4 linked regions of the Astyanax mexicanus genome follow. Each later gene encodes a partner of the first gene's protein in a complex. Links are inferred from orthologs where the notes say so. Each region holds a gene or a part of one and is shown in the gene's direction. Other genes may lie near its edges. The genes, in order: polr1b, taf1a, polr1f and polr1e.

Region 1 (7,972 bases):
CTATAAATGAAGCTATAAAAAAATAAAAGTTAAATCAAATACTGTTTGTACTTCAAATGTTTTAATGGCCTTATTTAAGATTATCAATATTATTCAGAAGACATCATGCTTTTAACCCTGTAACAGGCACAGTAACTTGAAATGTGATTTCAGTCAGGTGATGCAGTATCCACAAAAAAAGAGTGTTTGAGATGCAACGAGACGATCTCCAGTAACAAATCCATTAGAAAGTGATTAAAACACAGTTCTCATAATAAATTTATCAAACTACAGTGTATTCTGTCAAAAAAAGTCAATTAAAAAAAGGGCAGACATCCTATTATGTTTCGTCCCTTTTGAGTTTAGAATTGACACTAAAGAAAAGGTGTTCTTATACTTTACTTATATCTTATATTACGCTTGTATGTGTACAGCTTATACTGTTCCCCTGTATGTAGCTTTGCTTTTAGCAAATATTGTAAAACTCAATATTAGTAAGATAATTAAAAAAAAAACTATATTTCTCAAAGACAAATTGAACAGGGTTTGCATATTTTTCTATCCACAGTATATAATAGAAAGGAATTTCAGAGTGAAAAGGGTAAGAGCACAGGCTCAAACTGAACACCTGTAAATTCCAATCCCTCAGATCAAACTACATTAAGAACCGCCCTTAAGCAATAGCTTATAGACATGGGTAAGAGGTTAAATTACAATAATTTATCAAGCTCTACAGTACAGAGGTACATTCTCAAATACCCTTTAAAACTGTACTGTGCAAAACAGAAGCCTTATGGTAACTATCTCCAGAAGTGACATCAACTGGGATGGATCATCACACAGTGAAAATGTGTATTGTAGTCAGATGACAACTGTTTTTAGAATGTGTTTTAGGCCTATATTAGTAAAAATACAAGAAACTGTTATTTTAAAACATCAACACATACTCACAGTGTGCCTATTGAGTGTCCCCATATGATCACCAGACTGTCTTTACTGCGGACCTTTACCCAGTGATACAGGTAGAGGGAGTCAGTGATCAGTCCATTTTCTGTGGGCTCACCAGTGGAGTCTCCAAATCCTAAAAGAGAAAAAGTGTTTACAGAGAAACTATTTAAAATATTTTTAGCATATAGATATTTTTTTATTTTAACTAACCTCTGTAGTCCATAACAACTGCATGATAACCCAGAGAACTCAGGAGCTGTAACACCAGATAATCCATCAGCAGGACACATCATTAGCATTACAGCATCACATGGTTTAGATTTCTAACAGTGATGACAGAGGAGCTACTCACGTTGGCAACTCCTATCCGATGGGGGGCGGCTCTTTTATAAGGAAATACAAAAAAAGGACAATCAACAGAAACAGCACCTCATATAACTTATGAATTTTAATGAATAGAAATACAAATAATTTGGAATCACAAATCATCTATATTTCATGTGTGCTACAGACTTGAATGTGTGATGGTAAGCATTTGCTGATTACAGATCACTCTGCAAGTGTGATTTCTACTAAAAACAAGGGTATTAGAAAAAAAAGGTTTATCCTGATTTTGTTCCACTGTCTCCACAGTCCAGAGAAGACTAGATCTATCTACTAGGTTTTAGAACATTGCTGCATTGTGTGAGGATTTGCAACAATCTGCGACATATTCCCCACCCCAACTCATTCCCAGAACCACAGCTCAGTGCTGGGAGAAATATAACCCTCCACCCCATGCCTGGCATGAGGCACATTGCCAATAGGTTCATGTTTATCTGCTTGAGAGAGTTCTGTTCTATTGGCAGTACTTCTCTGCAGTGATTGGACAAGCTGTGCATTTACACATCTGTGTAGCAATGCATTCGCTAAAAGGGGTGTCCACATATGTTTGGACACATAGGGACAGTTTCTAGGAAATTAAGCCTAGTCCTATATTTCCTTTTTTTAATTCTCATTCAAAAGACTCTGTTGTCTAATATTAGGCTTAATCCCAGTTTGAAAATCTGCCCCCAAGTGTATAGTTTAATTATTCATGGTGATCTAAATGTATTTAAAAGATAGGTCTGCCCACCTGTTATGCATATTTGCATGTAGATAGATGAAAACAGGTGACCCATCACCCAAAGACTTCTCATACCACTCCAGATCCTTCCCCTGAGCCTCCTTCCACTTGTGCTCAGGCACAGTGTGCCTAACACACAGTTACAGAAAAACATCATAATAAACACAACTGGCCAATATACAGAACATTAGAAAATTAATTGACAAAGTGAACATATAACATGCAGAGATCATTGAACTGACCACACGCCCAGTGTTATCCCCTCTTCAGAGCTCAGGTACATATTAATGGTGTGATTAAGAGCGAGGTCAGCAGGACGACTCAGGTCAACGAACCACAATACTGAGGAAGGATTAATAAAAATAATAATGTGTGTTTATTTGAAGGCTGCAATAAACTTCACATACGACATTTTATTTTCATTATAAGTGAAGGTGTAAAACATACTAGCATGTGAATAAACCATGTGCTGTACAAAGGCAGGAAAGAGGCGAGGTATAATCCGTGGGGCCGCATACAGAACACAGAGCACCAGGAACGTCCATTTTATCCACACTCTCCATGAAGATCTTGAAAAGAAAGAGATGGACAAACAAATACAAACTACTCAACATTTATTGAGATCTTATGGAGCAGTATAGGCTTAAATTGAATAAAATATCACAAAATCTATCCTATTTTCTCTCTTGATTAGAAGACAACCAAGCTCTGATACAACAGCTAACAGCCACCTGTGCTGACTGACATTACACTAGGAGTAATGTGAGAGGAGAGCGCCATCAACCCACCAGACTCCGGCTACTGATGGCAAGCAGCATAATCTGGGATTTAATTGGGTAATACTCAGATCATAACGGCAACAGATTAGTCCGTCTAGTCCATCATAGCAAACGTAGAAAGAAGATCATGTTTAATTTATTTTCAAGTTTATTAACAGATATAAAGAGATCAAACTTCACTTCTGAGTTATATGCGGACATGCTAAACATGGTAGTTGTCATAGGACAGGAAATATTATCATGTTCCATGACTTTTGTCATGTTGTGCCATGAAACCTGAGTAATTGCACTGTCCAATGTGGGTGGTGATGCCTTCTAAGACAGTCCTGGTTCACACATATTAGACACTTTGTAAATGGAATGTCCCATCTATCTGGCACACACCATCAGGCTTCACTTACAAGTGATACTAACCTTGCTCTCACTTTCACAGCTTTGTCCTTCCCCGATTTTCCCTCAGTGCTATCAGAAGCAGCAGCTCCATCAACTCTTCTCCTCATCATGAGTAAGAATCTGTGGGTTCCTGTTAATTTTGTACAAATATCCAGCAATGTTTAAACACAACAGACAGGCAGCATGGTGTTCCTTCAGCTACACCCACCTTTCACTCTGCCCTACACAAACCCTGGACTCTGCCCCTTAATTAATACATCTGGTGATGTTGTTTACGTACACCAAGCTTCCAGTTAATCAACTACCCTGAACCTGGCATCAAGTAGAGGTACTGAGCTATATATGATCAGATGTTTCAGGACACGCCTTCTAATGAATGTTGAATGTGTGCTAGAGGTTATAAATCTCTTATCTCTGAATGCAACCAAATCCTCACAACCATACTTCAACATCTTGTTGTAAACCATCCTTGGACAGTAAAGAAGAGTGACGTCAACAAAATCAGGATAGGAAGGAAGGTTAGCCTGTAACAATACAGAAATTATGAAGAATACTAAAGTAAGAAAAAAGACACTAAACACTAAACCCTACTTTTTCCATTAATAGCTGAAAGGACTCTTTTTTGACTTTTGATTCAGACACAAAAACTTCATCACTACACCTAGTCTAGTGCAGGCAGCAAGCCATCAAGTCAGGATTCAATGCGATTCAGACGTATAACTTATACCTAAACAGTTGTTGTTTTTTCAACTTTTTCAGTTCTATTTTACAGTTCTTTTTCTGCTGCACTTGTGCTGCTATAAAAGTGCCATACAAATAAATGATATGCAGCTGTTTACTGTAATCTTACTGTACGCTTTTGGAAATGTACTTCTACCTACTTTAGTCCAGTTACCTAACTAAAACACACACCTTTACCTGGAGTGGGTGTAAGAAGATCCGATCGAAGCCTCTCCGTATTCAGCTTGGGGACTTTTATTTTGAAACGCAACAGCCCGTGTTACCAGTGAATCCCTAATAATAATAGAGAGGAGAATACTTACGTAAACATGTATTTTGAGTTAGAAGGCGGTCCCGAGTGATCTCCCGAGCTTCATGTTAAAAATATAAAGGATTAATACTTTTTATACAGAAAAGCTATCATAGAATTTTTAGGGACTTTTATTTTGAAAACGCTGTAACCCTTGTTAGCAGATAATGTCAAATAATAATAGAGAGTTAAATACTCACATAAACATTTCTGTTTATTTAGAATGAGCTCCAGAGTGAGTCAAACAATAAATGGGGATATGTGGAGCTTAAAGCTAAATTATTAATACTTTTCATATTGAAATAATAACATATTTTCTAATACAACACAAAACAAGGACTTTTATTTTGAAACGCACCAGCAGCAGTAGCCTCTGTTACCGGATCAGCGTGAACAGCCCGGGTTCCTGTGCAGCAGACCCACGTGAGGAGGAGACAGCATGGACTACAGCACGAAGTGGAGCAGTTTACCCGCTGCGCCCAGCCTCAAACCTCTCACACAGCCCGGCTACGGGCTCCCGAAGGAGCAGCAGCAGGCGGCCGTGCAGGATCTGGTCAAAGCGCACATCGACTCCTTCGACCAGGCGCTCAGTGATGGACTGGCCCAAGTGGTTCAGGTAGGTTCAGCACACTGTGCTCACGTGGAGCTGGGCCACCCCTGTTGTTATTCTCCCTGTATTAAACCAGTGTATACAGTACCAGTCAAAAGTCTGCACATACCTCTTCTCCTTCACTGCGTTTTCTTAGTTTTATGATTTTTTTACGTTGTGAATTTATCATTTTAGGCATTAAAATGTCAAGTCATGTCAAGCAGTTTTATTGTCAATACTGCATATGTACAGAGACACTATAGGTACAATACAACAAGCTCACAGATTCTTTCTTTCACATTCATGAACAAAAGACAATAGTGCATTTGTGATGGGTGGATTGAAAAGGAATGGCAGTACCATTATAAACAGAACCTGTATAATAATAATATATAAAACATATATATATATATATATATATATATATATATATATATATATATATATATATATATATATATATATATTGGCCCAAAAGAGCCAATGGTGACATGTGTCACAGATCCTTTAAAAGCTGTGTAAGCTGTGTAATTTTTTCTTACAGCATTCTCTTCTTTACTTTAACTCATGAAACCCCTAAGTGACATATACTGTATACTGGACATTCATTTACAGAATTTGTACAGAATTTTTTTTGTTAACCTTTAAGGAAAGTTTTACGCCCCATATAACTACTACTAGTCTGTTTTCTTAGGAAAATGTTGTTGTTATTTATGTTACGTCATGATTTTAACCTTAAAATATTTACAGTCATTTCTCTGCAATAAGAAACCAAAACATTAACTGCTCACTGAATTCATCTGATTTTGAAATTGATATCAATATTTAGAAATGTATCTTGATTCTTATGGGTTATTTTTTCTAAGTAGTCACATTTAGCTTTGAGGACAGATCTGCACACTCTTGGTAATTTAATCTGTCTTTGTGAAGTAGAGTTACCTAGAATAGTTTCTTCATTGTCTTGAAGGAGTTCCTGGAGGTGCTGAACATTAGTTGCTGCTTTTCATTTACACTGTGAAGCTCCAGCTCATCCCAAATCACCCATCTTAGTTGGGTTTAGGTTAGGGGAAGGGGATTGTAGCAGACAAAAAACTTTTTAATTTACCAACAAGCTACATAATTCCATGTGTGTCCCTTAAATATTTTGAAGTCTTTAATATTATTGTACAATGTACAAAATACATTCAATAAAGAAAAACATTGAAGGACAGTAGTTGTTTGGAATTGTTCACATTTTAGTATGGTGGGGATGCCAGTCTGATTAACATCTGGTTGCAGTAAATTAGTTACTGTCTGAATATTACTCTCTGTTATTGAGCTAGCAGGTTTACTGTGCATAACAGTGTAACTGAGCAGTCACGTACAGTGTGTTTTGGTGGTGTTGTCTGGACAGGATCTAAAAAGGCTGTTGTTTTAATGCTGCATGTACTGAGCCAAATAAATGCTGGATACCTCATTTCCTTTATTCTCAGGCAATTCCTCCTATGGAGTTCATGCACAAGGGGGACAGGATCAGCCTGGCGTTTGTGGAGGCCACCGTGCACAATCCTACTGTAGCCAAAGGAGGGATCTGTAAGGATCTTCGTGTCTTTCCTGCAGAATGTAGAGGAAGGAGGTGTACATACAGAGGCAAACTGGTGGTAGGTTTAATTTCCTGCATTGTTCTGTACTTTAACTCTTGGTGGACATCCAGTAAATAGTGACATTAAAATATTTCGAAACTGTCCTTAATAATACATTGTATGCTGAACAGCTATAGTATGACTTATTATTGAATTTCAGCACATGACTCCACATGATGTCTTGTTTCTCACCTTTCTGTTTTTCTTTGTAGGCAGACGTCAGCTGGTCAGTGAATGGAGTCCCTAAAGGAATTATAAAGCAGTCTTTGGGCCAGGTGCCCATCATGGTGAAGTCTAAGCTATGCAACCTCCATGGCCTCTCCCCAAAAGAGCTTATCGAGCATCATGAAGAGGCAGAGGTACAAGACAATTCTGAAATCTGCCAACCACAGAAAAAATAATACATTAATACAATGTATATTTAATCAACTTTTTGATGTTCTGCAGGAAATGGGAGGCTATTTTATAGTGAATGGTATTGAGAAAGTAATCCGAATGCTCATCATGCCAAGGAGAAACTTTCCCATTGCTTTGTCAAGACCCAAGTTTAAAAGCAGAGGGCAGGGATACACGCAATACGGTAGGTGCTCTTTAATAACATTTCAATAAATTGATCAAGCTGAGGCTGGAGAATAAGCTGGTTTATTACTTGAATTTCTAATCTGGGTTCTGTGTTCTCAGGTATTGCAGTGCACTGTGTGAAGGATGAGCACACAGCCATTAACATGAACCTTCACTACCTGGACAATGGAACGATCATGCTTAACTTCATTTATCACAAAGAGCTCTTCTTCCTTCCGCTTGGTTTTGCTCTTAAGGTAAATGATAGCTAAGCTCTAGGGCCTCTAACATTTTAATAATTCAATTAATGTTTGTTTTTCTTCAAAACTGCTCAGATTCCTTGTGTAAATATGATCATTGCCTCTTGTAATTAGGTCAGTTTTATGATCATGGTTTATGTTTAAGTTTATGATTATGAGATTAGGGCTGCAAAATATATAATTTCTGCATTGTCACTGAAATGTGGCATGCGCAATAGACACATAGACGATGTGCCGTGTCATAAAAGTACTGATACAAATTCAAATTCACATTGTTAACATTGTATTTTTCATGACAGATGATATCTGCCAGTATCATTTATTATACTCCAGTCTCGTATATACAATTAATGTTATTAATATTGTGTCATGCAGGATAATTAAAAAGGTTTTCCAATATAAATGTTAGTAAATTGTTATTGTTATGAATGTTAGTCTTGTATAAAAAGTAAAGTATGTGTTTTTAATAATTTATTATTTTGTCGTCTGTGGATCTTAGGCCCTGGTGGACTTTTCAGACTACCAGATCTATCAGGAGTTGATAAAAGGCAAAGAGGAGAACTCCTTCTATAAGAGCTGTGTGTCTGAGATGCTGCGCTTGGTGATGGAAGAGGGCTGCACCACCCGAGCGAAGGTGCTGAACTATCTGGGCGAGCGTTTCCGGGTCAAACTCCACTTGCCAGAGTGGTACACGAACGAGCAGTGT
Region 2 (8,273 bases), on another chromosome or scaffold:
TTTTGCTCCAGCTGACGGGCTGATACTGGTCCGCCCGGCGGGCTGAACCCAAACCCTGGGCTGGATTTTAACCGTGCGGACCCGGATGATCCAGTAGTTCAGCTGAATACATAGTACATGCCCCAGTAGTACATAGTACACCAGACCCCTTTAATTACTTACTACTGCACTCGTCGTCCGCACATCTCTTAAAGTCGGAAAATCGCCGCTCCAGAGAGGCGTGTGTAAAACGCACACAGAAAAACAGTATAAAAGGGTAAAAACGCCACAGCAGCGCTGTCATGTTGGCTGGTTGGGATAGGGCAGCGGGCTGCCTGAGCGGGGGCACAGCGCTGAGCCGAGCCGAGCCGACACGTCAGCAGATCTGCAGCCGCTGCTGCGTCTGTACCGAGTCTGATGCTCCAGGCAAGCAGGAGAAAAAAGACTGGAGTCATGTTACACAGGATCCGGGAACACTTAAAGACACAGACTCACAGGAACTTCCCCACACTCTGTAGAAGAAAACCAAACAACAAAGAACATTGAATAAGCATAATTGTATGGTTGTATTACATTTTGTATGTTGATGATGGAAAAACGACATTTAAACAACATTAACACGACATTATTGGCTAGCATTAAAATTCTGACATTAACCTTTTAACATGCCTTGTCTCGTATACAGGCTACAGGTGTAGGTGATACAAAACTATTTCTTTCTGCAGTAAAAAAAAAAAAGATTATTCACACTCTGACAACTTTGAGGGCTTTGAAGACTCTTACAGGTTTCTTGAAGAAGCTGCCTGACCACTCTCTTCTCCACTTAATAATATCAGATCAGTAACAGGAATCAAACAAATTACTGCAGGTTTGAAAATAGACATAAAAACTAGACAACAGTAACAAAACGAAAGGTTTGGAGGACAATACAAGTTTCATTTGTATTCAGGAAAATACTGATTTTAAAGTGAAGTTTAGGAAAGTACCAATGTTATGATTATTATTCATTATATTTGTAAAGGGGCAGATTTATTTATAAATTGTAAAATAATTTCTGTTACATTTACAATTATAATTTGTAGTCACTTTTATTACAATAAATGAAAGCTTTTTATATAATGCTTGATTTTTTTTTAAAGATTAAGGTGTGTAATATCAGGGTGAAAATGAACAAATATTCTAATCTGTTAAATCAACGTTCATTTAAAGGTTTTTATGTTTAAGGCTCTTCACCACTCACAATGATTTAGCCGAAACGTGCTCCCAATTAAATAATAATTATTGTTATCTGTTTTAGACTGGACTCAAGTCAAAAAAAGAACTTCTTCAAAGAGAAGCAAAGAAGAGACAGTGATCTGCAATGATCTGGGGATGCTTCAGCAAGGCTGGAATTGGGCAGTTTGGTCTTTGCGAATGACGCATGAATCAAGCTGCATACAAGGTTATCCTGGAAGAAAACTTCCTTCTATCTACTCTACCAATGTTCCCAACTCTGGGGAATGTTTTTCTTTTTCTATCAGGACAATGCTCAATTCCACACAGCTAGATCAATTAGGGTGTGGATGAAGAACCACCAGATCATGGTGTCATGGCCAGCACAATCTCCAGCCCTGAACCCCATTGAAAACCTATGGAATGTAATCAAGAGGTAGATGGTCACAAGCCATCAAGCTGAACTGCTTGAATTTTTTGCCAGGAGTCTCATAAGTGGCAAAGCAGTTTGAAAGACTGAAAGACTCTTTCTTAGTTACTTTTGTATTGTTGTTTCTAAATAAATATATTAACTTTTTTTGTTTGCATTATTTAAGTTTGAAAGCACTGCACCTATTTTGTTAATTTGACCTTTTCTTATTTTCTGCAAATGTATTATTTTTTATATTTTAAATATACAATGTTTTTATTTGGAATTTGGGAGAAATGTCATCAGTAGTTTCTAGAATAAAATCACAATGTTTATTTTACTCAAATATATACCTATAGATAACAAGGCTGAAGTTTGTTTGATATTCGCAGCTCCAGATTAGATAGTTGTTATGCAAGAAGCAACCCCAAAGTTAATTGAGAAAGTGATTTAGTTTTTTGTACATTGGTAAATAAAATGGAAAAAAAAAATCTGAGAGCTCAAACTGAACTGTATCCTGTCATCCAGATTTTATCTAGGCCCTGCTAACCCCAGGGTCTCATAACTGCCCACCCCACACACCATGTGGGGTGAACATGAGCAAAGGCCAGCACGGTAGTGGGGAGGGGGGATAATCGTGCTCCAGCATGGTTTAAACAAAGCGTGCCCAGTGTATGCCATAGACACTCCTACCTATTGCTGCTCCACACTGTAAATATAAAGTCAAAGAGACTCATCTGCTGCACAGTTTGTGTTGATCATTCTTTAGTTCTGTAGTTCAGTGGGTACCGGACACTTTCTAATGGAGGCTGGCCACAGGATATGTTTAAAAGTTGTCTGATTCAGTTGTACCAGCACAACACAAACTAATAACACACAACCACCATGCCAGTGTCACTGCAGAGCTGAGAATGATCCACCAATCAACCATCAATGCAGTAAAGAACATTGAGATCTCAGAGCTACATATGCTGCCTTTAGGACCACAACTTTTCCAGGCCGTTGCAAAAGAAGGTACTGGTACCGAACTGGCCTGCCTGCAGTCCTGATCTGTTCCTGGTAGATATCCCTGTACTGTTGCACATCTTTAGATGAAGAATGAGACAAAATAACACCCGAAACACTTAATCACTTGATATCCTCTGTGCCTAAATATCTTCATAAAGTCCTGTGATAAACAATGGTAAGATTACAAAGTGGGAAATGCTTTACTGTCCTTTTGGAATATTTTGCTGAAATGTGTTTCAGGGCTGTTACTCAAGAATTAATGAACAATAATAAATCAAATGAACAAAAAAACATAAAGATAAAAATGTAAGACATTTTTCTTATTTGGGGTTTTAAATGTGGTCACAATTACTCCCTATATAAGGTATAATGGATATTTTCATAATTCCTGAAAATTGAATATAAAATACTGCACAACCAGTTAATATAATCCAAGTTCTCACTGTTTTCAGGAAGTGTGAGAAATGGCACATTGTGTACATAGGCTTGGTGTGTATTTCTACAGGTTTACAGCTGCTTATCTATCTTCTCTAAAAGGAATTCATCTGAACCTGAAGTGTGATCTTATCTAAGCCATAAATAAAACTGATTAAAGAAATGCACAAAATTGCATAATTATAGTCATACATTGTTTTTTTTTCACTTATATTTTAATTAATTGGAGCTCACCAGCTTGTGTGAACAGTTATATTGTATAAACGATCCACAATCAATTTAATCCTTAGATGCATAGTAAGTCAAAAATTACCCAAACATCTTTCTTGCAATATCTTCAAAATGAGAAGTTCTCATTTCATATTTCAGATATTCCTTAAATAATATATTACTGGAATCATGCCACATTCATTTTAACTTACCTTTTATACATTTTACTAAAATCTACTAAGTCTTTTGTATTATCGCCCCAATGGTGGTCAAGAATTACCCGCATTAATATCCTGTAAAAATGCATGGGAACAATTGATTATCAGCTGTGACAGAAATAAATATTTTGTGGACCACATAGATGATATCAAAAATGTCACCCTTTAAGAATATTATTTTACCTTAATTTTTTTAACCCCCACCAAAATGATGTGTGTATGTCTAATTAAAATATATGTGTGTGTGTGTGTGTGTGTGTGTGTGTGATTCATGTCTGTGAAGGAGTGTTTCTTATCATAAAAATAGCTTATTTTTCAGTTTTTCAGCAAGTGTGCTTCTTGACAAATAAAACATGATCTCTTTCTGTTTCCCTTAGACTGTCTATGTGAGAAATCATTTACCATGTCAAGTAGTACAGGCCTTAGTGTCCAACATTGCTGTGATGAGTGAAGCCTCTATACAGCAGCAAATAGAAATCAAGATCTCTGGTGCTGCATGCTCGTGTCGTGTGCAATTAAAATGTTTAAATTCAAATGTTTCATTAGAATGTTTGCTAATTTTAAGCTAAATGAGTCAAATATTCCATTCTAATTTAGAATGTATTTAAAAAGTTGATCTGAAGTCATTCTGAAATAAATAAATAAAAAACTAGACATATGAAACTTGGCCATGTTATGTTATCTGTTCTCAGCCTGAATACCATTTGCTATTTTTTGAAAACACAACAGAACTTCTAGACTTTTCTCACATTCATTTACATAAGACAACCGGACATCAGGTGAACGAATGTGTACGGTTTGAGCCGCATCTACAGTATACAGCAATATATAGCAGTATACAGTTTTCAGTGATGATCACCTGCTATTAGAGAAGAGCACAGTGGCTACACTTTTACTCTTTCTTTAACAAGAATGACCAACATATAATGTCTGTGTGCCATTCTAGGTGAGCACAATGCAGGCCCCCTTGTGAAAAAGTGTTTGGCCCCCTAAACCTAATAACTTGGTTGTGCCACCCTTGGCAGCAACAACTGCAATCAAGCTTTACCGATAACTGGCAACCAGTCTTTCACATCTCTGCTCTGTGGAGGAATTTTGGTCCACTCCTCTTTACAGAAATGTTTTAATTCCACCATATTGGAGGATTTTTGAGCATAAACATCTTGTTTAAGATCATGACACAGCATCTCAATCGGACATTGACTAGACCACTCAAAAACCTTCATTTAGTTCATTAATTTTTCTTTAAATGACTTTATTCTACTTCCCAGAATTGATGTAACACCCTGGATTAGTTACTAATGAGTGTAGCTCCATTCACTGAGGACTCAGTCGCGGACTCCCTCTAGCGGAGTGCAGCAGTGCTCTGAGGAGGAGGCAGGAGGTGGGTAGACGCTCTGGTTCCTCTCCGACGGTAGATGGCGGTATGCGCTGAAACCATGCGGTGAACCTGCAGTTAGTCTGTAGAAAAACAAAGAGCACGTGAGTTTCATACGAGCGGGAGACGCGCTGTAGATAGAGAGAGAGGCCACACTCAGATAACTCCACAGCAGCAGAGCCCCTGTACGAGCTCTTACCACACAGCCCCTCTCACCAGAGAGAGAACTGAGAACACTGAACATACAGGACTGTCTATTGTGAGTCTGTCGGTTATGGATGATATCGAAGCAGAGCTCGGTATTTCTCGATCAGTAGGAAATGAAGACTTTTCAGACTCTTCAGAGGATGAAAGAGTTGCCAGGAAGATCAGACCGCCTATTCTACTGCACTCCTCCACCGCTCAGGGTAATGTATCTTAATAAAAATACACTAATCTCAGCTGCTGCACCACAATAAAAAACACTTCATATTCAGTTTTAACTGGTAAAAACTCAAATTACACATCAGATTTGACTAGAAAAAAACGCCCCTTGCAGTGATCAGCAATACAATATTTACCAGTAATAATATCAGATCTACAGCTCTATAAAATCATTCTCACTACTCATACTGTCAGGAACACATCCTGAGTGTAATTCTGACTAGTCATATGATATCCCTGATTTACACGGAATTTCACTTTTTTATCTACAGTTACATTTTACCAGTTAGATGCTCTTAAGTTAATTGAAATTGAATGAAATTGTAATTCCAGGTAGCCTATATACACTGTAATTCAACTCAGGTATTGACATCTACAGTTCAGGTTTCGATTAGTAATAATATTATTATTTCCTGGTAAGAATAACAGTGTAGATGTGTGGAACTAGTACTACATTATTTTACTAGAAAATTGTAGATCTTTGAAACTTTAATGTTTTAACTAGTTAAATATAATTATAGAGCAAAGAATGTGAGATTACTTGTTAGTCAGTGGTAACCTGACTAGTCAGAATTACATTATGGACGTGTTACTTATACTGTCTAAAAAAATGTAAGGGAACACTAAAATTCCAGTTGAAAATCTTTACAGATATAAATTGTATAATAAGTTGGGTGGGCAGAAAATCTAAGTAAAACATTGAAATATTAGGCTCATCCAATTTCTGTAAGTTTAATAACAGAAACTCAATGTTTTTTCAAATCCTTCATTAAAGTGCACACTGGTGACTGGGGCTGGGGAAGGAAATTTAATTCAATATTTTAGATTGGAAACGTGAATGCCTTTGGGAAAAATCCTATGCATACTTAGGTAGTATGTATTTAGCATATTTAGTTTGAACATTAGGTGAGCAATGTTTTATCCAGTGAGAGGAATCTGTCTTATATGTTCATTTTCCTGTAAATAAGGGAAAATTATTAAAAATATATTTTTATGTGCCCATTGGAAAATCCAAGTTTCCAACCAGTGAATATGAATTTGTGTATGCGTTTTTGAGATTTCCAACACAAAGGCAGCATTGAGCTTGTTAATGTATGTGCCTCAGGCTATGCTTGTAGGTGAAAGGGTACATACACTTGATTGCAGACATTACTTATTTGTATTTTCCACTTACAATAATTATTTCATTTTAGCAAGGGCTAAAGAAAGTGGTTTTCACGAATCTTCAAGACTATGTCTGAAGGCCATAAGAGACGCTATGCTGCACCATCATTGGCAAGAGGCAGCACAGTACTTGTCTGCTTACTCTCAGACACTGGAAGATACCACAGTCAACAAGCAGTCACTAGCCTGTGAGGTAAGCAATTCTCTTTGAGATTACTTGGATTTCTGCGTAAATTGGTAATTAAATGTCACAACAATAGACAAACACAGTCTGCTTAAACTAGTATCACATATGTTTGCATGGTTTTATTGAATAACTGGTTGACCCTCCTTTGGCAGCAAAAACATCAACCAAACATTTCCTGTAGTTGCAGAGCAGACCTTCACAACGGTCAGGAGGAATTTTGGATCATTTATCTTCACAAAACTGTTTCTGTTCAGCAATATTCTAGGGATTTCTGGTGTGAATCGCTCTCTTGAGGTCATGCTACAGCATCTCAACTGGGTTAAGGTCAGGATTCTCCAGAAGGATTTTTTTTTTCCGTTGAAGCCAACTAAAATGTTAGCATGTGCCAGAGATTTCTGTACGTCTTTAGCTGACACTCTAGTATTCTTCCTCACCTCATTGATCATTCTGCGCTGTGCTCTTGCAGTCATCTTTACAGGACGACCACGTCTAGCGAGAGTCGCAACAGTGCTGAACTTTCTCCATTTTTAGAGTGTCTGTTTTACCGTGGACACATGAACATCAAAGGCTTTTAGAGATACTTTTGTAACTCTTTCCAGCTACATGCAAGTCAACAATTCTTGAACGTGGGTCTCCTGAGAGCTCTTTTGTGCGAGGTATGATTCACAATCAATGCTTTTTAAGAACAGCAAACTCAAAACTGGTGTATGTTTTTTAGGGCAGGGCAGCTTTAACCAACACAATCACCAATCTCATCACATCCTGGTTCCAATTAGCTCTTAGAAAAGTCATTAGCCTAGAGGTTCACATAATTTGTTAACATGTTGTGTTTAATGAAATCAGGCAAACATATATCTTTTTTGTGGTATTAGTTTAAGCAGATTGTGTTTGTCTATTGTTGTGACTGATGAATATTAGAACACATTTAATGATCAATTTATGCAAAAATCCATGTAATCCCAAAGAGTTCACATACTTTTTCTTGCAAATTTATATCCCAATGTTTATAAAAGGCAATCTCATAACTGTGCAGTAATTAAGGATATTGTACTAGTGTTAACTGATGCTCTGTAAAATACAGGTACAAAGTGGGACTTTGTGCTGAAACAATGACATACCAACTGATGTTTTGAATTGTTTGTTTAAATGACACCATTGTTTACAGTTTCAAGTGTTTTCTTTAATCCTCAGATTATTTGGAGACTAGGCACAGAGATTCTTCAGCATCATCCAAACTCTCGATTGGAAGATTTTAATGCTTTGTATGAACAGATGAAAAACTCTGGAGTGAAAAATTATGCTAAGGTATTATTATTTAAACATCTATTTGGATTTTGGTTTGCTTTTTTTCTTTTAATTTAAACCCAGAGGTAAATCTTAAGATAAATATAAGTAATTATCATTTGTAAAATTATTTGATATATTTAAATCATTATTTTAAATTCTCTGTTACAATAAATAATATTTTTATGCACAGAGATAATGGCATTATTTGTTTGTTGATAGATCTGTTTGGAGCACTCTTTTCACCTTCTGTTGAATGGTCACATTTACGATGCTAAACGTCAGTTGTCTGTTGCGGCAAGCTGGAGGTATGGCAAGCAGTCTGTGCCCCAGTCTCTGGATTTAAAGCTTATCCATGCATACTGT
Region 3 (8,131 bases), on another chromosome or scaffold:
ATTATTACGCATGTTGTGGATTAACATATGACATAGCGGAGTCGATATGTTTGCATGTATGAATATTCATGAGCATGAGCCGAAATCCTATCGTATCTCCCCCAACGCACACTCCTTCACTGAACTAGAGCAGTGTTATACCGGATCACCGGAGCATGGCTCTTTATGAACCCAAAAGTGCTTATTTTATGATGTCACTCCAAGAACCATTTGAAGTTTTAAAAGTTTTAGTGTAAAACGGCAATATATACAACATAATTTGATTTTAAAAGTATTAATTAATGCAGATATCTTGATGAGGAATTGATTAGGAACTGCTAATCTTTGTAAATCTCTCTCTTTCTCTTTCTCTCGTACCAGGAGATGCTCGATAACTCCAGTAACGGCATTCCTCAGATCGCGTACAACGGACGCAGCGCATCGCCGTGACAGTCGGGGGTCTTCGCAGTTTTGATCTGGTTTCAGGACCGTCTCTGTGCGCTAAGTGGTGCTGACGCTCCGGGGCTGAGGGCTGTCAGTAGGATGCTTTGCAGCTCTCCCCGAAGACTACAGACTCTGGGTCAGGTAACACTACTGTGGCAAAAAGAGATCGCCTCTCCTGGACTGACAGCCAATCAGCATTCAGTTACCCGATGACCTGAGGGGAGGTCATTACGAAGTGTAGCATATTGATGACATGCATAGAGCATCGTACCAAAATGAGCACAAAATGAGCATGCATAATCCTTTACTTTCTCTTTATCTCTCTCTCTCTCTCGCTCCTGCGCTCCCTCCTCCTCCTCCTTACTGCATTCATCCTGCATCTCTCCATTAATCCCTGGTGAGAGGTTTTTGGAATGTCGATGCTGAAATTGTAATGCTGAAATGTTATGGCATATTGAATGCTCTGACCTCAAACATACAAAATGCACAATGTAAAATGCTTATATAAGGGATAAATTGTTGATTTACAGTATTTTTATATAGAGGCTTCATATGAAAACGAAATAAAAATGACTGAAACAGACCCTCCTGTAGTGGTTACTGTGGGATACAGTGACTTAAGCTAAAGCTAAGGTATGGAGTGAATTTTGTGCCAAAAGATTTTATGCAAAAAAATCAAAATAAAATCTGCAATCAAAATCTTAAAGTAAGAATAAAAAGTAAAAAGTGTGTACAGCTGTACAGCTCTGAAAAAAATAAATAATAAGAGACCACTTCAGTTTCTAAATCAGTTTCTCTAATTTTGCTATTTATATTGGTATATATGGTATATATTTGAGTAAAATGAACATGTCTTGTTTTATTCTATAAACTACATTGGAACAGCATTTCTCCCAAATTCCAAAAATAAAAATATTTAGAGCATTTATTTGCAGAAATAAATGAGAAATGGCTGAAATAACACAAGTCCAGAAAAGAAAACAAGTTCATATTCATAAGAGATTCATTTTAAGAGATCATAAATCATAATTTGTTGGAATAACCCTGGTTTTTAAACACAGTTTTCATGCATGTCGGCATCATGTTCTCCTCCACCAGTCTTACACACTGCTTTTGGATAACCTTATGTCACTCTTGATGCAAAAACCCAGGGACATAACTAAAATGTGTATTTTAACTTAAATATTATGGATTTATGATGGAAAATATATATATTTTTTTAAGTATAGATGGGATTTGGACACATAGAACAATCTCTGAAGGATTTTAATAGTTAAATTTCATGGTAAAGTTTATAATTATCGAGTGAGGAAAGGTTACAAATGCTATTTTTACAGTGTTCTAAGTAGTTTTATTACTGTTTTAATTACATATTTTACTTTTTTAATTAGGTCAATGCACAAGACAATATGCTTAATAATAAAATGTATTTTAAAAGTATTTTGTATGCACATTTATACATGTAAATTCCTGGGGACAGAAATGGCACCGATTTGGTGGAATGGTGGAATTGTTTTAAACTGTTGCAACTATATGATTTTTTTTTTACACATTTATATTTTTCTTTACTGTTTAAAATCAAGCACTGAAGGTGGTGTGCTCTTATGTGAAACAGACCTGCACATCATCAAAGACTGCTGAACTCAGCTCACTGATATGTGTGTTCAGGACCGCAGGACTGCAGGACCACGACAGCAGAAACAGCCTGGTGCCGCTGCTGACAGGGTTCTACTGTCATCACTCGTCAGCACGTAACATGCCACCGTGCAGTACTGTCCACTCGCACACGCAGTGTTATCTCCCTCTGATCACTGTACACTCGCCAGCCTGCCTGACCTTCACTGGTGCCTGTAAGGCTACATCAGGTCTGACACTAATGGCTGAGAGGGTCAATACTTACATTTACGTTGAGTCATTTGCTGGATGCTGCTCTTATCCAGAGTGTCTTACTAAAGCATGCAAACAGTAGAAGGTGGAGTAGTAGTGGTAGGTTGGTACAGCATCTGAAAGGATTTAAAAAAGAAATGCATAAAAGCGTTGGAGTGATGCCACAGATGGTGTAGTTTTTTTTTTTACTTATTAACCCCTTAAAATGTCTTGTCCTGTATAAGGGCTACAGGTGTAGGCGAGACAAAACCCTTTTTCTGCAGTAAAATAACTTATTGACATTCTGAAAATTTAAGGGAATTAAAAAAAAAAATGTCCTACAAGACACTTGGTGAAGCTGCCTGTTCACTTTCTCTCTACTCCACTTAATAATTCCAGATCAGCAACAGGAATTGAGATTGAAAATAGACATAAAAACTAGACAAAAGGTTTGAAAGACGTGAACTGTTTGATTTGTATTCAGGAAAATATTAAATATTAGAGCCAATTTTATGATTTTATTCATTTTATACGGACTACGGACAACATTTCTCCCAAATTCCAAATAAAAATATTGTCATTTAAACCCTTTATTTGCAGAAAATGAGAAATCCTAAATAACAAAAAAGATGCAGAGCTTCAAAGAAATAATGCAATCAAGTTCATATCCATAAAGTTTTAAGAGTTCAGAAATTAATATTTGGTGGTTTTTAATCACAGTTTTCATGCATCTTGGCATCATGTTCTCCTCCACCAGTCTTACACACTGCTTGTGGATAACTTTATGCTGCTTTACTCCTGGTGCAAAAATTCAAGCAGTTCAGTTCAGTTTGATGGTTTGATGGCTTGTGATCATCCATCTTCCGCTTGATTATATTCCAGAAGTTTTCAATTTGGTAAAATCAAAGAAACTCATCATTTTTAAGTGGTCTCTTTTTTTCAGAGCTGTATATATATGGCCAAGAATTGCCCATATCAGTCTATTCAGATTTTTTTATGTATTGCATTGCAATGTGGCACTTATTTCTTTGATAATGAATGTACATAACCATTTTTATAGGCTATTCATGATATTTTTTTTTTACCACCACCATTTGTTTCTTGTTTCTATATAAAATCACTATATGTTCCTAAAGAACTCTTTTAAACCCAAACAAATAGGCAGGTTTGGGAGTTTGTATCACCGCAGAGTAAACAAGAGGCCTATAACCCAGAGAAAAACATGCTGGTGGTCTGTTGTTCTGAACCATGGTTCAGAGGAAGAACAAGAATGAGCCCTTAGAGGCTTTGCAAACAAAGAGCATGAGTTTGATATTGATCCTGCTGCAACAGGAAGCCAGCAGAGTGCTTTCAGAGTCACACAGGTTATAAACAACTTCACAGGTTATAGGCAGGTTATAGACCAGAAGGTCAGATAGTCAGAGACCTACAGTAATTGAACTGTCCAACAGTAGGATTACTGTAGGATTTTGGATTATTTTATTTATCTAGCTCATTTATGACCCTGTTTGTCAGTTTACTTATGTTTGCCAATTAGTCGATATAATACATAATTATGATATTTAAAACAACTGATGTTTGCGTGTACATAAAAATACTTAATGCCGTTTTACAAATTGCTTTAAACAATTGGCTGATGCACAAAATGACAGACAGGTACTTCACACTTTTGATTGGCCTATGCAACAATTGATCTCTGTTGCACAATTGAACATCTCGGCCGTGTCTAGAAACCCTTATCATCTAACATCTTATTAAAAGGGATATGTGCTTTTATGCTAAAATACTTTGTATTATGCTCTTTAACAAAGACAGACATATGGTAAGGCATATTAATAAGTGTATAAATGAATTAATTTTATATTTATATGTACATTCATACACATACAGCTCTGGAAGGAATTATAAGACCACTTCAGTTTCTGAATCAGTTTCTCTGAGTAAAATGAACATTGTTGTTTTATTCTATAAACTACCGACAATATTTCACCCAAATAAAATATTGTAATTTAGAGCATTTATTTGATGAAAATAAGAAATGCAGAGCTTTTAGACCTCAAAAGTTCATATTCATAAAGATTTCAGAGTTCAGAAATCAATATTTAGTGGAATAACCCTGGTTTTTAATCACAGCTTTCATGCATCTTGGCATGTTCTCCTCCACCAGTCTTACACACTGCTTTTGGATAACTTTATGCCTTTACTCCTGGTGCAAAAATTCAAGCAGTTCAGTTTGGTTTGATGGCTTGTGATCATCCATCTTCCTCTTGATTATATTCTAGAGGATTATAATTTGGTAAAATCAAGATATTTTTTTCCAGAGCTGTATATTCTGTATATAAATACACATTATATATATTTGTGCAACATTACCCTTCTCGATCACTGTGGGTTAAACGCCTCCTGCTCCGGGACAGTAGGGGGCGGTACAGACCCCGAACCCAAACCCAGCAGCGCTCAGTTTTCCCCTGCAGAAGACCCGCACCACGTGCTCCTCCTGCGATTCTCATGGCGAACTCTAAAAAGTTGGATGAGGATCGGAATCAGGTCTCCGAGCCCGCCGGAGGTTCCGCCGCGCTGTTCCCGGCCGCGGGCAGGGACGCCCCGGTCTCAGCCAGCCTGCTGCCGTCGTTCGCGGCGGCCTGTGCGCTGGTGCAGGCGCCCTACTCCTGCCTGGTCCTGGAGTCGCACCGCAGACACGTCGTCCTGCCGCCCGCCTTCATCAAGAGGAAAAAGACCGGCATCCAGGAGGAGCTGAACTCAGAACTGCTCAAATACTCCAGCAGGTCAGTCCCAGCGAGATAAGATAGATTAATTGTTCTGTTCCACCTTAAAAACTCTTGCAGGTCAGTCCCAGCGAGATATGATACTCTAACTGTTCCGTTCCACCTTAAATACTCCAGCAGGTAAGTCTCAGGGAAAGAAGATAGCTTAACTGTTCCGTTCCACTTTAAATACTGAATCAGGTCAGTTACAGTCAGGTAAGATACTTTAACTGTTTTGTTCCACCTTAAATACTTCAGCAGGTCAGTTCAGATAGATACATTAATTCTCCAGCAGCAGCTACCGTCTGGCGCCTCTGGCTTCACCATTTAAGGTGGAGCCGATAATTAGCTAGAATATTTTTTTTACCCTATGACAGTAACCAAAAAGTTAGGTATTTCTTAGAATGTATTGGAATAAAATCCTAGCGATATATGCCGAAATATAGAAGAAGCAAAAGTAAAAATATACTTACAAAATATATATATATATATATATATATATATATATATATATATATATATATTGTATATTGTAACAGGTACTTAAAAATAAAAATAACTCAAAGATTTGCTCTCAGGTGGTTCATTTTTTTCCCCTATTAACAATAGAGAAACCATCACACTGACAAGAAGTGAAGTTGATCAATATTTTGTTATTAAGAAGTAAGACTAGTTTATTCAGTGATTATTGTTGTTGTTGTTGTTTAGGCCTTTATAAAATGCATGTTTCTCTTCTCAGTTTGATAGGTGTGCCATTGGCGTATGATCACATCAAAATCGTAGGACAATACGGGGACATATTCGACGACCAAGGTTTCATCCACCTAAACATCGAGGCCTCGTTTGTCGTCTTCAAACCAAAGAAAGGAGATAAGCTTGTGGTAAATAATTTAGCATCAAGCACTAGCTAACAATTGCGACGAATTAGCTAAGGTTACCTGAGAAAGAAATAATGTTAGCAGAGAGCTAGCTAACATTAGTGGCAAGTTAGCTAACCTTACCGTTGAGAGAACTAAAGTTAGTGGAGAGTTAGCTAACATTACCAGAGATCTAGCTAACAATAGCAGCAAGCTAGCTAAGAGAGAACGAAGAGAACTAATTAGTTGGAAAACCAGAGAAATTATGACTAGATGTTTGGGTCTTAAATTGTAATTATTGAGGTCTTAAAAAGTATTAATTTGTCGTTGTTTTTTTTACTAGGGTGTGATAAATAAAATGGCGGTGGGTCACGTGGGCTGTCTGGTGCACGGCTGCTTTAACGCCTGTGTAATGAAGCCACATCTTCTGACCCCGGAGCAATGGAGAGACTCTGGGTTTAAGGTTGGAGACCATCTGGAGTTTGAAGTGTTTCAGCTGGACGCTGATGTGGCTGGCGTCCTTCTGATCAGAGGAAGACTGGAAAAATACAGGTATGATGAGCTTTAAAAGTATAAAACTGGTTATCATGTTTTATAAAAAAAGTTTGTGAGACTTCAGTCAGCATATTTATCCCAAATGCCATTAAATTTATGGATTATGCACAGCTCTGGGGGAAAAAATAAGAGACCACTTAGAGTTCCTTTGATTTCACCAAATTGAAAATCTCTAGAATATAATCAAGAGGAAGATGGATGATCACAAGCCATCAAACCACCAAACTGAACTGGTTGAATTTTTGCATCAGGAGCGTAAAGCATAAGGTTATCCAAAAGCAGTGTGTAAGACTGGTGGAGGAGCCACCAAATATTGATTTCTGAACTCTTAAAACTTAATGAATGTAATCCTTTTTTTTTTCTTTGCATTATTTGAGTTCTGAAAGCTCTGCATCTTTTTTGTTATTTCAGCCATTTCTCATTTTCTGTAAATAAATGCTCTAAATGATAATATTTTTATTTGGAATTTGGGAGAAATGTTGTCTGTAGTTTATAGAATAAAACAACGATGTTCATTTTACTCAAACATAAACCTATAAATAACAAAATCAGAGAAACTGATTCAGAAACTGAAGTGGTCTCTTAATTTTTTAAAGAGCTGTATGTGCACATCAACACATAGACATTGTGTGTCTGCAGTGTACAGGGTTTAAAAAAAAAAAAATGGTGTTTTTTCAGGGTGAATGAGCTTGTTGCTGCAGTCAGCAGTACAGAAATGGAGGAACAGAGAACAACCGAAGAAGCAGCAGCTGAACCAGAATCAGCTCCTAAAGACGAAGGCACAGAGGACATGGACTCCTCGAAGCCCAAAAAGAAGAAGAAGAAGAAAAAGAACAAAGAACTAGACTCGGAGACAATGGAGGACAACGGCAACCAGGTGGCTGAGATGGAGACACTTGATTTTAACAGCAACGGAATAAAGGTAAAACCTGATTCTGACGGCCCTTCACAAGAGAAGGAGAAAGAGAAGAAGAAAAAGAAGAAGAAAGATAAAAGGCACGAGGCAGATGAAGAAATGCCTTTAAACACTGAGCTCCTAAACAGCGACTCCAGCGGATATTTAAGCGACAAGAGTAAACGCAAGAGGAAAGCACAGGAGAGTGAGGGTCTTCATGAAGACTCCAGCATGCCTTCAGTGAAAAAGAAAAAGATTAAATGATAAGTGCTTTTACACTGTGACTGTCCTCACTTCCTTTCTTTTTTTTTTTTTTTTTTTTTTGCATAAAAAGTGCCTCCAAAAGTGCCAAGATTGTTTGTATTATTGTGTAATAATCTAAGGTAAATAATAAAGCAAATAATATCACTTGGTAACGTGTAGTTCCACCTATTCACCAATAGAGGTCAGTAAGGAAATACTGAATGGATGTGTGGACGAATGTTGCTTCAGAATTTAGACTTTAAATTAGCTTTTTATTTAAGTATTTTAATAATACACAATAAATGCTGCTATTTATAATTACACAAACTCAAGTTGTGCACTGCAGTTTTTTTTTTTTTTAAACATAATGAACAAAAACCTTCTTACTCCAACATCAATCTTACTCTCGCTTATTCTCAGTCGTACACTTTAATAAATAATAATTTAATTAATCCACAGAAAAAAAGATTAATTGAGATTATAAAAAAAAAACATATATATATATATATAAAACGCGTTACTATTTT
Region 4 (7,732 bases), on another chromosome or scaffold:
GAGGAAGGGAGACTATAAGGAGGAAGGGAGTGAGGGAGTGTGTAGGGAGGAGGAGATTGAGGGAGTGTGTAGTGAGGAAGGGAGTAAGTGAGAGTGTGTAAGAAGGAATGGAGTGAGGGAAGGAGTGGGAGTGTTTAGGCAGCGAGTGAGTGAGTCAGGGCTGCTGGATGTACCTGTGTATACGATCAGGCATATGAGAGTGAAGAGCAGCTCCAGACAGATGATGCACAGCAGGAGATAAACAGAGAGATTCTTCACTTTCTTGTCCAGCAGGGGGGCGGGGCCAATCACCACCAGCAGCGCCGCATTACCTGCGGAGAGAGCGAGAGAGACAGCGAGGGGTAATAAAGGACAAGAAAGGAGAGATAAAGAGAACAGCAGAGAAAAGGGAGGAGTTTAACAGCATTAAACTGAATGGAGCTGAACTGTATTCAACTTAAGTGGAGTTGAACTGGATTAAACTGGATTTGGCTGCACTGTATTTGAAATGAATTGAAATTAAACTGGATTCAACTGAATGTTACTTCACTGTACTAAACTAAACTGAGTGAAAATGAAGTGTATTGGTCAGAATTAGAGCTGTACTGTATTAAACTGAGTGTAAATGAAGTGTATTTTTCAGAATTAGATCTGTACTGTATTAAACTGTGTGTAAATGAAGTGCATTGGTCAGAATTAAAGCTGTACTGTATTAGACTGAGTGTAAATGAAGTGTATTGGTCAGAATTAGAGCTGTACTGTATTAAACTGAGTGTAAATGCAGTGTATTGGTCATAATTAGAGCTGTACTGTATTAAACTGTGTGTAAATGAAGTGCATTGGTCAGAATTAAAGCTGTACTGTATTAGACTGAGTGTAAATGAAGTGTATTGGTCAGAATTAGAGCTGTAGTGTATTAAACTGAGTGTAAATGAAGTGTATTGGTCAGAATTAGAGCTGTGCTGTATTAAACTGAGTGTAAATGCAGTGTATTAAGAGAGTGATGGGAAATGCTGCCTCCTGGAGGATTTCTGGGATCTTGCAGTGTGTGGGTCAGTACCTGCAGAGTGTATGAACAGGGGCAGGCGTTTGAGGTCCTGATTGGCTCTGTAGAACTGCAGGTATCCTCTCCTCCTGGCTGTAGTGTGGTGGTGGTTCACACACCACTCGAACCCGAACACCAGCAGCCACAGCCCCACCTTCCCCAGCAGCACCACGGTCTGAGAGTCCACCCCGTTCAGCACTGCGTTACACTGCTCCGAGTGATCCTCCGCCAACCAGCACAGAACCGCCAGCACCACGCTCACGCTCACATACGCAACCTGAGGACACACACAGTGATCACACACATCATACACACTTACAGATTCAACAACTGGTTACTTATCACAGAATAAATGTCTCATGTTTGAGTATATGTTTGAACAAAATGAACTTTGTTGTTTTATTCCATAAAGTACGCACAACATTTCTCCCAAATTCCAAATAAAAATATTGTCATTTAGAGCATTTATTTGCAGAAACTGAGAAATGGCTGAAATAATTAAATAATGGCTCAAATAATGCAAAGAAAACATGTTCATTTTCATAAAGTTTTAAGAGTTCAGAAATAAATATTTGGTGGAATAACCCTGGTTTTTAAATCACACTTGTGTGTGTGTGTGTGTGTGTGTGTGTGTACTGACGTGTGCTGCAGTCAGTAATCCGGTGATCCAGGCTGTGGGAAGTTTCTGGAACTCTCTCCTGATGGCCGACTCCAGAGCATCCTGAGATATGAGCGGCCCGTCCATCAGCGGGTCATCCTCTATACTCTGAGTATAATCAGTACTGGGGTTACTCTGCACACACACACACACACACATAAGGACAGGAGATCAGTGACAGGAGATCAGTGAGAGTATAAAGTGTGTGGCTGCAGTAGGAAGTGTTTAGATGGAGGCTGTTTGATGTGCCACACTTCAGTCGGAGCTTCTAAAAGAGCTGAGAATGATCATCGTTCAGACTCTTTATTCCCAAAAGTGAGAACTGTCCAGCAGATCAATCCCACAGCTCTGCTACTGCAGCACCTCACCTTTACCTTTACCAACGGCCCCATTGTGACAGAACTGTATCAATCAGCTATAAAAAAGACGGAGAGGCCGTTATGAGCCCTGCTCTCATACACAGGGTATCTGCAGTTATGGGGAAATTTAATTATTACATTTAAGGTTGTTTAATACCAGACAGAGACTAAAAACTAATTAAAACAAATCAAAACCAAAATAAATTTTACAGGCTTTAGAGTACACCTTTTTGACAAAACTAATATAAATGTACAGTTTGGTAAAAACAGAATAGGATCTATTTGTTCCATGTAAACAGGGTCCAGCACAAAACATATTGTTATAACCCTAAATAACCCTGAATAACCTTGGCCCACATTCAATACTGAGGCGTTTTTTCTAAAGGAACCAAGTAGAACCCAATATAACCCAACATAATTTAACATAAACACAACAGAATCCAATAGAACCCAATTTAAAACACAATATAACGCAATAGAACATAGTAACAATATAACCCAAAAACCCAAATATAAACACTATATAACCCAACCGATCCCAAAATAAACACAATACAACAATAATGTAACCCAATATATCCCATTATAAAACAATACAAACACAACATAAATAAGAAAACACAATATAAACACAATTTAGCCAAATAGATCCAAAAAACACAATATATCCCAACAGAACCAAATAATCACAATAGAAGCCAATAAATGCAACAGAATGCAATACATCCGAATAACACAATATAACCCAATATAAACAGAATACAAGCACAATCGAATCCAATATTACCCAATATAAAGACAATATATCCCAATAGATCCCGATATAAACACAATATAACAACAAGAGAACACAATAAAACCCAATAAATCCCAGTATATTCACAATATATCCCAAAAGAACCAAATAAATACAATGAAACCCAAAATAACTCAATATAAACACAATAGATCTAAACACAATATACCTCAATATAAGCACAATAAAAGACAATATAACCCAACAGAACCCAAAATAACCCCAATAGATGACAATATAACACAATGCAACACAATATAACACAACAGAACCCAATGCAAACAATCTAAAACCAGCTAAAATAGCAGAAAATCTTGATTTAACTATATTAATACACGATTCAACAACTGAATAACTCAACAGTCACACTCTATGAAATACAGAGCCAATAAACTGCTTGTTTGTTAAATATATAAGTTATATGCATATAAATGTAAAATAAACTCTGCTTTTATTATTAAACACAATTAAAAAACGCTCCATAAATAAAAATAATAAAAAACACAACAATATAAACAATATAAATACAATTAGTTGTTAGTGCATTATTTACACCAGAATAACCCAAACACACAGGTTTAAATCTCACCTGAGGAGCTGCGGGTCGCTTAGAGCCCATAATAAAGCTGCTGTAGTTTATTAAACTCTCTAAACTCTACTAAATTACAAATAAAATCATATAAACAGTTTATTACTCAACATTTATACACCAGCTTCAAAACACCACACATTCTACTTCCGCTACCAGGGAGCTGCTGACACCCGTCAAATTAAAAGTCTTTTTCGTCTAATTTGTCCTTTAAAATACTACCACTACCACGCCCTTTTTTCTATTCACGTTTATATTTATGGTTTCTTCTATATATATATTCTTATCATACAACAAAACAGCATTAATAATAATATTATTAATATACAATAATAAAAAAATATATTCAAATTCTTAATAGCATATTTAACTGAGAATTTTCAGATCAGATTTTTGGAAAACAGTAAAGGGAAAAAGTCAAGTTAATAAATGTTCATAGCCAAACTCTACTATTTAGAAATAGAAACAATGTACAATGTAACCAGAAATCACAAGGCAATGAAAAAATAAATGTTAAAGAGAAGAGAAGAGAGTTCAGGAGGGGCGAATACAGAAAAGAGTAATTAAAAGTCCGTTTTTAGCTAATTATATTACTATTAAATGACTGATGATGATATTTAAAACATGTTATAAAATAACTAATACAACACTGATGTCACAATATAATTAATGACTATTATTTAGATATATGGCAATACTGGTAATAAATCCCTTATAAACAAAATACTAAGTCGTTCACTCATAGTTGTTTTGCCTTTTGCTTTAAACGTGTGACAGACATATATTATGGGCTGGTTTTAAGCTTCTGAAGGGCGGGTTTTAGACTGACTTTTGGGTTGGATATTTTTGTTGGACCTGGCAACCCTCACTACAGCATGGCGGCGCCCTGTGCGTGGACAGCGTGTAATACGAGCGGGCAGGAGGACGCAGTGATCGGTGATTTAAACCCTCATATCTCTGTTATAAACTCATATATCTCTAATATAAACTTTAACTATAGTTATTACTGCTTTAATCTGCAGCAGGAACGCTCTGTGTTTGAGATAAACAGATTATTATTACTGTTTCTTACCCACGTGCTGCAGCTGTAGCTCCTGTATCGGTTCAGAATCAGCATAAACAATATATTAATTGATTAGACCTTTTTCCCAAGTTTGACCTGCTGTTACTCCAAAGTACTACAATAATATCACTGGAAACTTAAACCATTAATATTATAGAAAAGCATATATGAGACTTTAATGGTATCATTTGATTGCAGTTTGATTGGCTGGTTTTATAGGACTCCAAAATCTGATTTATGCAAAACCCAATAGATATTTTTCTTAAGTTTGATCTCCAATTATTCCAAAATACTACAATAATATCACAGGAAACTTAAACCAATAATAGCATAGAAAAGCGTCCATGAGACTTTAATGGTATCATTTGATAACAGTTTGATTTGCTGGTTTTGTAAGACTCCAAAATCTGGTTTATGCAAAAGAAAATAGATATTTTAGTAGATTTTATTATTAATAGATAAGTTTGACCTTACATTAGTCCAAAACACTACAGTAATAGCAGACAATACTTATACCATTAATAGTATAGAAAAGAATTTAATGGAGTCATTTGATAACAATTTCACTTGATTTTTCAAATTTTTTTCCTAGGTTTGATTAACATGCTTTGCATATTTGTATACATATTTTAAAGGTATTGCAATTATTCTTTCTCCTAATTATAGGATGTTTTTCAGATTTATCATCTTATAATAATGGTTTACATTTAATAATGATTATTTAGCTCATTAGTAATTCAGTGATGATTTAAACTGCTAAACTATTTTTACATTATTTTAAATACAGTTTAATTCCCACTCTGTGTTCTCCTCTCTGTTCTGTGTTTGCAGTGAAGTTCTCTAATGGAGAGGTGAAGAACTCTGAGCAGCTGGACTTCAGACTCTTTAAACATGTGGACGAATCAAACCCGAGGAAGAAGCGCCGCCGGATCATCGTAAATACACAGATTCTACATTTCATTTACAGCACTAAACACACACACACACGCAGCTGTATTAATATATAAATATATATGTACTGTATGTGTGTTTAGGCTGCAGAGTCAGACAGGCTGGCGTACGTTGGGAATAACTTCGGACCCGGATCCTTACAGTGCAACAATCTGTGCAGGTAGGTGGAGTTAAAGGTTAAAACATGTGTTTAAGAGTAAAATTAGAATATTATATAAGACCAATTGGTACTTTTTAAAAGCGTGGCTAGTCCTGCTGGAAAATGAAATCCGCATTTCCATAAATGTTGTCAGCAGAGGGAAGCATGAAGTGATTTTTTTTTTTTAGATGCACTAGTATATGTAATATAATTAGGTAAGTTACTGAATGGACTTTTATTCTGTAGGTATTTTGTGGGAGTGCTGGATAAAAGGACGATGGAGATGAAGGTTCATAATGCTCAACTCTTCAACTTGCTGCCCAGTATACCAGGTACACACCTCTCAAACACCTTACACACACCTGTAGTGTTTAGATGATCTTCACTGGGAGAGAGAGTGTACTGTCTGATGCTTGCTCGACCATTTAAAAGTCTTTAGAGTTTGTTTTTTTTTTAGTGCTGAAATGTTTTTTTTTTTTTTAATCTTATCATTGGCAAATGAATAATTGAAAATGTCATTAAGTATTAGGAAGGAAAAGTATTTGGATTGGAAAAATAACAGGACTGTTTCATTTTCTCAGGAGAAACAGCAGCAGACGCTGATAAAAACGAGACCAAGACCTACAGAGACAAGGTGAGTCTACAATGCAATTCAATTACATTTTTATTATTATTTTTTTTATGTATAGCGCTTTTTACAACAAAAGTTGTTACAAAGCAGCTTTACAGAGGAAAACAGGTCCACGCCTTTAATATGGCCTAAAAATGATCTTTTCCCCAAAAATCCGATTTTCGAATATAATCTATTTTGTTCACCCCCTACTAAAAATGTAAAACAAATGACAAAGAAATGGTTCAAAACTATGTTTACCCTAAAAAAAAAAAAAAAAAAAAAAAATATATATATATATATATATATATAAGTACGAGCTCAGTCCTGTTTAAAAAATATTTTAATATGTTATGTTAAGTCTGTGGGAGGCGCCGGTTATCAGGTAAGATGGAGAACCACTTCAGAAATCAGTAGCGTTTTCAGATATTTTAGATTAAAAAGGGATGGGGGCGTGGCCACCGTGATGGGTAGTCAGGAGGCACCGGGCAGTCACTCCACTGACCCAGTGGGGCTCTAGTCTCTTAATTTGTGACTTTCAATCTTTTAAGGGTCCGTTCTGCCTTAGCCTTCCTCTCACCTGTAGCGACCTGTAGTCACCTGAGGGCTGAGTCTGTATTTCGGTTTTCTGTCGAGTTGTGCTACCTATCGAACAGCGGGCTGCTCAATCAGTCCTGATTCAGACCAGCTGCGACCGGCAGTGGCTGCATGTCATGGCATGGGGTGGACCCAATATGTAAAATCGTGATTTAGATAGAGAAAACAGAAAGAAAAGAAAGAGAAAAAAGTGTGCTAGAGTAAAAGGACAGGGCTGATTCCCTGCAGGCAGGAGGTTTAGAATAGAGATTTAAAGGGGGATTGGTTCCATATAAAGGTTTAGAATAGAGCAGGCTTTACGGTTCTGTAGGTAAAAAGTGTCCCAATATTGGTTGGTTGCAGGTGGACGCTCTGATCGAGGCGTTCGGTACGACGAAGCAGAAGCGAGCTCTGAGCTTGCGGCGGCTGAACGAGGTCGGGAACGAGACGCTGCAGAAGGCGGTGGACCGAGCAGCCGGGAGCGTCATCAACCAGAAAGGACTGGAGGGTAAATTTCACAACTTCTTCACTTCTGGGAAGGCTTTCCACAAGGTTTAGGAGTGTGTTTATGGGAATTTTTACCATTCTTCCAGAAGCACTTGTATTAGGTCAGACACTGAGACACCACTCTAATTCATCTCAAAGATGTTCTATCAGGTTAAAGTCAGGACTATGTGCAGACCATTCAAGTTCTTCCTCAATAAACTCGCTCATCATGTCTTTATGAAGCAGTTATGTAGGAAACAGTCTACATGCCTAGATGCTTGCTTTTATACAAGCGAATAGTTTTGGCAATATAGGTTATATTTTTAGGTTATAGTAATCATACTAAAGGACAATCAGTAAACAGTATCATCCCTAAAAACACTGATGGCTCTATCTGTAGTTATTTTGACAGTTTGAAGGGAGTTGTTAGTAAGTGTTATTACAAAACAATACGTTATAATAACTATTAATTCTCTCTCTT

The links.
Region 2: polr1b (region 1) and taf1a share a complex: the UniProt entries of both Homo sapiens proteins name them as parts of the pol I pre-initiation complex. The link is inferred for Astyanax mexicanus from reciprocal best matches to the Homo sapiens genes POLR1B and TAF1A.
Region 3: polr1b (region 1) and polr1f share a complex: the UniProt entries of both Homo sapiens proteins name them as parts of the RNA polymerase I (Pol I) complex. The link is inferred for Astyanax mexicanus from reciprocal best matches to the Homo sapiens genes POLR1B and POLR1F.
Region 4: the proteins of polr1b (region 1) and polr1e are in contact, whole or in part, in a cryo-EM structure (PDB 8A43), measured with the Homo sapiens proteins. The link is inferred for Astyanax mexicanus from reciprocal best matches to the Homo sapiens genes POLR1B and POLR1E. Residues at the interface, in NP_061887.2 of Homo sapiens: Lys254, Ser258, Phe259, Ser260, Tyr262, Gln263, Gln266, Ser295, Thr296, Gln297, Ser338, Thr340, Glu341, Ala532, Cys535, Pro541, Ile542, Asp543, Gly544; in NP_071935.1 of Homo sapiens: Gln27, Ser29, Asn30, Gly31, Tyr69, Thr76, Leu79, Lys80, Cys81, Leu84, Cys85, Met109, Gln110, Pro111, Leu112, Phe113.

What each region holds. Positions count from the first base shown.
Region 1 is NC_064414.1:41,430,743-41,438,714, forward strand, and holds the start of polr1b (DNA-directed RNA polymerase I subunit RPA2), read left to right. Parts: upstream 1-4,617; 5' UTR 4,618-4,673; coding exon 4,674-4,850; intron 4,851-6,295; coding exon 6,296-6,463; intron 6,464-6,657; coding exon 6,658-6,804; intron 6,805-6,892; coding exon 6,893-7,025; intron 7,026-7,126; coding exon 7,127-7,263; intron 7,264-7,765; coding exon 7,766-7,972. Other genes in the region: lysophosphatidylserine lipase ABHD12, read right to left, coding at 2,275-2,374, 2,480-2,601, 3,226-3,314. UniProt on the Homo sapiens protein: Catalytic core component of RNA polymerase I (Pol I), a DNA-dependent RNA polymerase which synthesizes ribosomal RNA precursors using the four ribonucleoside triphosphates as substrates.
Region 2 is NC_064408.1:54,374,648-54,382,920, forward strand, and holds the start of taf1a (TATA box-binding protein-associated factor RNA polymerase I subunit A), read left to right. Parts: upstream 1-4,939; 5' UTR 4,940-5,123; coding exon 5,124-5,256; intron 5,257-6,465; coding exon 6,466-6,629; intron 6,630-7,814; coding exon 7,815-7,928; intron 7,929-8,129; coding exon 8,130-8,273. Other genes in the region: mia3 (transport and Golgi organization protein 1 homolog), read right to left, coding at 163-283. UniProt on the Homo sapiens protein: Component of the transcription factor SL1/TIF-IB complex, which is involved in the assembly of the PIC (pre-initiation complex) during RNA polymerase I-dependent transcription.
Region 3 is NC_064410.1:2,913,006-2,921,136, reverse strand, and holds polr1f (DNA-directed RNA polymerase I subunit RPA43), read left to right. Parts: upstream 1-4,727; 5' UTR 4,728-4,797; coding exon 4,798-5,075; intron 5,076-5,793; coding exon 5,794-5,935; intron 5,936-6,254; coding exon 6,255-6,463; intron 6,464-7,144; coding exon 7,145-7,625; 3' UTR 7,626-7,769; downstream 7,770-8,131. Other genes in the region: transmembrane protein 196, read left to right, coding at 361-429. UniProt on the Homo sapiens protein: Component of RNA polymerase I (Pol I), a DNA-dependent RNA polymerase which synthesizes ribosomal RNA precursors using the four ribonucleoside triphosphates as substrates.
Region 4 is NC_064432.1:23,893,879-23,901,610, reverse strand, and holds the start of polr1e (DNA-directed RNA polymerase I subunit RPA49), read left to right. Parts: upstream 1-4,253; 5' UTR 4,254-4,301; coding exon 4,302-4,362; intron 4,363-5,320; coding exon 5,321-5,424; intron 5,425-5,523; coding exon 5,524-5,600; intron 5,601-5,825; coding exon 5,826-5,911; intron 5,912-6,160; coding exon 6,161-6,213; intron 6,214-7,128; coding exon 7,129-7,273; intron 7,274-7,732. Other genes in the region: tmem192 (transmembrane protein 192), read right to left, coding at 174-311, 1,040-1,301, 1,665-1,817, 3,427-3,456. UniProt on the Homo sapiens protein: Component of RNA polymerase I (Pol I), a DNA-dependent RNA polymerase which synthesizes ribosomal RNA precursors using the four ribonucleoside triphosphates as substrates.